Linked DNA regions of Xenopus tropicalis. The protein of the gene in region 1 purifies or fractionates together with the protein of each later gene. This does not show direct contact. Links are inferred from orthologs where the notes say so. Each region holds a gene or a part of one and is shown in the gene's direction. Other genes may lie near its edges.

Region 1 (2,876 bases):
ATGTGAAATAGGATGTTCCTCACATGCATCCCCTTGTTAATTATTATATTTAACTCATCATTAAATGCCTGCTCATACCTCATAATTAGCCTTTGAGTGCCGCAAGGTTTGCATACATTTGTATGTTTGGCACTAGTCTGCCACAGGGCCTGTGTATAAGAATAGGTAATTGCCAAGCAGCCATCTGTGTAGAACTAGCTGCCTGCCACAAGGCATGTATGTTAGACCTATGCCTATACAATATGTGCAGAGTCTGTAAATATATGTGCGTGAAGGCCGTCTGTCCTATTTTATATATACAGTATATATCAGTCACTTATGCTTTGGTTCAGGCCTTGAAGGGATCAGTACGGCTTCTGTGAAGTCCATGTCAATGGTAGAACTTTCCACATCATTGGAAGAAATTGCTGCAACATTAGGTAAGATACCATTGCCTTAAAATGATAGAAACGGACCGTTCATGCATATTTACAGGGGACATATAACCCACTCACATATTTTGATGTAAAATTGCTTTAATAGTACTCTTAAGTTTACTTAAATTGTTCATGCTATTAGCATTTTTTAGCACCCTCTGGTGTTTAGACTGGGCAAGGGCAGGACAGAGATACATAAGCTTAAAGGGCACCTACCAGGGGAATTTTTTTTCCTCCCAGAGGCAGGGGCTTGCTCAGTGTGCACGTGACATCCCACACATTCTCATAATCAGTAAACTGTGACAATAAAGACCATACAAGCGGATTTTTCCCTTATATGGCCACCTTAGGATGGGGACATATTGGGCTGATCTGATCATTTGGACTGAAGGCCAAAAGATTGGCTCATAATTGCCACTATGCAAGCCATCAGATCAAGGACCATATAAACTCGCAGATCCTGTCTTCCATCCAACAGGAAAATCAGACCTGCCTGGTAAACATCTCGCCAATTTTCTGCCAGATATTGTTGGCTTGTTGTAGGGCCCTATACACGGGCCGCTAAGCTGCCAGTTTTGTCTGTCACCAGTTTTTATTGGATTGTATTTGGCCATCTTAAAGCCAAACTGGATATATATATCTGTAAATATTGCCCTTTTACATCTTTTTCCCTGAGGCACCATTTAGTGATGGGCTGTGTGCTCCCTCAGAGATCACATGACAGGAAATAAATGTAACTGTAACAGGAAGTAGTGTGGAAGTAAAAGGCAGAACTCTGCCCATTAATTGGCTGATGGGGCCTAGCATGTATGTGTGCCTTGGCTTGTTTGTGTGCACTGTGAATCCTATGATCCAAGAAGGCGGCCTTATTACTCAAAATGGCAATTTTCTATTTAGGAGATAGTAGTACATACCATGGCGGTGGAAACAATTTTGCCTCCGATACATGCTTTTTAACTTACTACATCCTCTTTAGTTCTGTCTCTCCTGTCATAGAAAGCAATAGAACTGGGTATGAAACCTTCAAGAGCTGCTCCATGCAGTCTATTCTGCCTGTTCCACACCCGGACAGAACAGCAGGTGGCGCACTGGTTGCACTTTTATGATATTAGCAGTGTAAAAACTGCTGTTGTTGTTGTTATCGTTATTAAAACAAATGTAAAGTTGCAGAAGTGCTCAGGAAATTGTCATTCTCTGGGTTTATGTCACATTTAATCCTTATCTGCAGGGAAATCAACAAGAGCAGTACAGGAAAACCTGGAGAAGCTGCGAATGCCAGACAAGGGGAGACATAAATGGCCGGATCCATGATCCGTAAGGTAGGGTTGTAACCCATCTCATTCCAAAGTACCAGTCTCCTATGGACTCCAGACAGTTTGAGGCTCACTGTGATCCCTTTATCTTTCAGTCACATCTCTATTGTTCTTAAGACGGCGGGTGAAGTTTTTCCACCCCGAAGATGTCGGAGCGTGTTGATCACAGTGGCGGCGCCTCTCGCTTACAGCGCCCTCTTCAGGATATTACAGGGCACAGAGGACTGGGAGACAGATCTGCAGATTCAGCGATATTCTAAGATGCTTTCCATCAGCAACGAGAGAGCAGGGTTTTTAATAAGACATAGATTAGGATTATACATGCAGGTTCCCCATAGGGAGAGGGGATTAATGATTTAAAGCAATAAGTACCTGTGGCTTTTAAAGGGGAACCACGTGACATTGGTTAAAGCTTTTATGAGAAATGGGATTAGTGAATTTAATACTCTGCAGGTGGCAGATTTTAAAGACCTATTTTTATCCTCACAATAAAATAAACAAAAAAAACAAAAGACAAACTGGTTCAAGTTCCATTTTTATTGCAACCCTGCTCCTCCTGTGCGTCCCTCTGGTGTCAGGCACTACATACAATATAGACCATCCCCGTGCTGCGCCACAGACATTGGAGAACCCTGCTTTACTGCGGCGTTGTACTTGGACTCGGCAGCTTGGATTGGGACTGCAGTCATCGTGGGCAGACGAGAGCTTTCCTGTCTGCCTGCCAAAGCCGCCATTTCTTGTGAATCTCTGATTTCACCTGAAAAGCAAAAAATGTTATGGCAAATAATATGGCAAAAATGAAGGAGTGTTGCAAAGAGCTTTTCATCCAAGCCAGACAACTGGAAAGGGAAACCTACCTCTTTATTAGCAAAGCAATAGAGCACAGCCACCAGGAAACCCTGTGAGAGACAAGAAGACAAACCAGAGGGGATTTTGGAATTGAGGAGAATATTAACTGTTATATAACAAATAGACATTTTGGAGTTACGGTAAACACTTTTCTATCACACGGACGCTATTATTGGCCCAGAGTCCAGGACCTAAAGTTGCTAACAGTGTCAAGTCTCTGTCTGGGGGCCCTGCCAACAAGTAAAATAAGACCCCTATTCTTTCTTGGCCACTCCCAAAAAATGGCAAAAACTCCACC
Region 2 (3,760 bases), on another chromosome or scaffold:
AGTAAATGCTGCAGCAAAGAAAAACATAATGTCCATCCAAGTCCTATTTGTAATATTCCAGTTGTCCCTGTAAGGAAAATGCAATAATCAGTAACAATAAAAACATTAGGATGAAAATCATCAGAATTTCATAAAACCACTGAGAGTCTAGTGTGAAGCTCCACACCCTACCCCCCCCCCCCCCCCCCCATTTGCTGAACTTTTCTTTTCTCTCTGACACCTCTTCGACCATCTTCACAATCAGAGAGAGAAGGAGAACTCTGCAAAGAAAATGGGGTGGAGCTTCACACTAGACTAGGAAGTAGCAGAGTGGGCTGCAGTCCAGCTGCTTGTGGTACAGAATCTGCATGAGACTGAGTGCAGAGAGAAAGGTATGTTATTCTGGGGGCTGTAAAGAGTCATATTAGAGATTTAAAAAAAAGGTCTACTTACTCTTTATTTATGTTATAATGGCTACTTTTAAATTTGCTCTGCTTCTTTAGAAACTTTACAACCCACTATCCCCTTTAGGGCTCTGGCACACAGGGAAAGTAATTTTTGAACTCACTGGGATTAAACTTTTTTAACCCACTACACAAAGTAATCTCTGGTTAGGCAAACAGGCCACTAGCAGGCCGGATAAAATATAATCCACATGGGAACAGAAACTCTCTTTAATTCTACTTCAGTGGATAAAACCATTGTATCTAAGTACTTTTAAACAATTTCTTATGCTCAGTGGCTGATGATACATTCTTGTCTGCCATTTTTAATAACCTTAAAGGAGAACTATACCCCAAAATAAACCATTTTTATAAAAATATACTTTTTTACTTTTTTTTGGGCTATTGGGTACTCCTAAATAGGAAATTGCCATTTTAAGAATTAAGGGCCACCTCCTGGGATCATAGGATTTGCAGTGCACATAAACAAGCCAAGGCACCCATACATGCTAGGCCCCATCAGCCAATTAACGGACAGAGTTCTGCCTTTTGCTTCCACACTTCTTCCTGTTACAGTTAGAGCTGCATTATTTCTGGTAATGCGTTCTCGGAGGGAGCACACAGCCCCTCACTAAATGGTGGATCAAGGGAAAGGATGTAGAAAGGCAATATTTACTGATATATATATTCCAATTTGGCGAGATTCTTTAATCGGTCACTTAACATAATATAAACTATGTTGGTTATGTATTCATTCTGAGGGTATAGTTTTCCATTAAAGGTGTTGTTCACCTTTAAGTTAACATATGATGTAGAGAATGATATTCTAAAACAATTTGCAATTGTTTTTTATTATTTTATTTTAGTTTTTGTTCAGCAACTCTTCAGTTTGGAATTAGGTATCTGGTTGCTAGGGTCCACATAACCTTAGCAACCAGAGTTCTGCAATAATAGACTGGAATAGAAGAGGGTCTGTATAGAAGTAATAAAATGTAACAATAACTATAAAATTATAGCCTCACAGAGCATTGCATCCATCTTTCAAGTAAAGTTATTTCTCTAAGGTATAAAAGGATTAGAAATTATTTAGAATTATTGTTTTCTTATTTCCAAAATCTATATTAATGGCTGCATCTTTTCCCCTTTAGCAGTGGAATGACCTTTGCGGTGATTAAGGCTGATACATGCTAAATGAAACCAAAAACAGTCTGCATTATATTTAACCATAGCTTAAATAGAAGTCTACGCCTAAGAAGCAGTCTTGTAAGTATGCTTTTGAAATTCAATCTTACATCTTTTGACTGACATATATATATACAGTCAAAAATAATATTCACTACACATTTAAGAGCAAGTATGTCTGTAGCAAAATAAATGTCCGAATCCATTCTGCCTGCGCGCAGTTTGTATCTAACAGGTGCTGAGCAGAGATACTACTCCATATTGCAGCATGTTGTTCAAAAACAGTCCAAAACAGTCAAACACAATTTGACTGACACAGATATTGATAAATGTGTCAAGTCAATAAAAACACTCGACGTTCTGGAAATTTTTACCAAATTCTAAAATAGATCGAACTACTGAGAAACCTCCTCGAGCCACTGGTTTGATCAATAATATATATGCCCCTAAGTGTGTTATAGACATGGGTGTGTAGGTTTTTTGGTTTGTCCCTGAAGAAGAGTACAGTCAGTACTCGAAACGTTGGATTTTTTTCAAATAAATTTTTTCACTAATCACTAAGTCCTTTTGCGTGCGGCTCTCTGTCCTTATATTTCCTCATTTTGCCAGGACCCAAGGCATTTGAGCCTTTGTAGGGTGTGCTCCACTCTTGCTTTTGTATATATATATAATTTGTTTTAATGGTAGTGTATTGGGCAGTAATAAATATTTTATGTTTAAGAGTTATTGATTTTGTAAAGTAGACCTTGTTCAGATGGGTTTTTAACTTCCCATGGATAAATTAGTAGCGGAGTAGAAATTATTTGAATGTATATTTACCTTGGGCATATGCCCCCCCTTTTCCACCACACCTGTTATAATACTACCTTGCATAACCAGTAGAAGTACAAAAACGAAGTGAAACTTAGCTCTTTATCTGCACAGCCACACTGAACTGAGAGGCATTCACAATCTAGGGCAAATATTATGAAAGCAACCGCATTCTAGAAACATTGTTCATTCAGTTCACACTTTCTGCGTTATATATGTGTAGAAGGGCAAATTTCAGTGTACATTGAACACACAAAACAGGCATAATACTTCAGCCTTTGTTGCAGACATGAATTAATAAATACTTGGATGTTACATGCCAACTGTATCTGTGCTTCTATAGTAGTTGTATCTGGAAAGGACTTTGTACTTTACTCAGTGTTTCTTGCTTTAAGGTTTTTTGTATTTTTTTTTTTTGCAACAAATTTCAGTTTGGAATTCTTCTTCATTCCTTCAATACAGGAGGTGGATAAATAGAGAATAGCTAACAATATATGGTTGAAAAATGGAAATGTCACAAGTAAAGAGTGCATAGGGTGTAAAATGGTCTCCTTCATTGGCCAATATACAACCATTGGACTTTTTACAGTATATCTGCCAATTCCTTCATTGGGCACCTTTCAAACACTTCTGATTCAGTTTGGCTTATATTGTGAGAAGTTTTAAGACTGTTCCCTCTGACATGTTAAATAGTTTGTGTAATCCATGCAGACAGTTGGTTACAGGAACTGGCAATTTAGCTTTGGAAATCCTTGTTTATAGTTAAAGGGAAACTATACCCCCAAACAATGTAGATCTCTATAAACATATATTGCATAAACAAGCTCATATGTAAAACCCTGCTTCATTTAAATAAACCATTTGCATAAAAATATACTTCTTTAGTAGTATGTGCCATTGGGTACTCCTAAATAGGAAATTGCCACTTTAAGAATTAAGGGCCGTCTCCTGGGATCATAGGATTCACAGTGCACACAAACATTATTGCATTATTTCTGGTCATGTGATCTCTGAAGGAGCACACAGCCCATCACTAAATGGTGGATCAAGGGAAAGGATGTAAAATGCCAATATTTACTGATATATATATATATGTTCCAGTTTGGCAAGATTCTTTAATAGGTCACTTAACATATACATAACATATTCATTCTGGGGGGCATAGTTTCCCTTTAACTCCATATTGCTTCAGAAACTTGCATATTAAAGTGCTAGATTAGCAGACACTATTTCTAGTTCATCAGTTCTCAACCTGTGGTTTGGGACCCCTTTCACAAGGGTCGCCTAAGACCATTGGAAAACACATATTTTCGATGGTCTTAGGAACAGAGACGCCACTCCTCTAT

The links.
Region 2: the proteins of anks3 (region 1) and nek7 purify together in Homo sapiens (affinity purification with mass spectrometry; 3 studies listed by BioGRID and IntAct, with this or other methods). This does not show direct contact. The link is inferred for Xenopus tropicalis from reciprocal best matches to the Homo sapiens genes ANKS3 and NEK7.

Annotation. Positions count from the first base shown.
Region 1 is NC_030685.2:20,812,060-20,814,935, reverse strand, and holds the end of anks3 (ankyrin repeat and SAM domain-containing protein 3), read left to right. Parts: intron 1-332; coding exon 333-419; intron 420-1,644; coding exon 1,645-1,727; 3' UTR 1,728-1,735; intron 1,736-1,824; 3' UTR 1,825-2,243; downstream 2,244-2,876. Other genes in the region: glucagon receptor, read right to left, coding at 2,415-2,486, 2,587-2,628. UniProt on the Homo sapiens protein: May be involved in vasopressin signaling in the kidney.
Region 2 is NC_030680.2:111,188,272-111,192,031, forward strand, and holds the start of nek7 (serine/threonine-protein kinase Nek7), read left to right. Parts: upstream 1-1,597; 5' UTR 1,598-1,685; intron 1,686-3,760. UniProt on the Homo sapiens protein: Protein kinase which plays an important role in mitotic cell cycle progression. Required for microtubule nucleation activity of the centrosome, robust mitotic spindle formation and cytokinesis.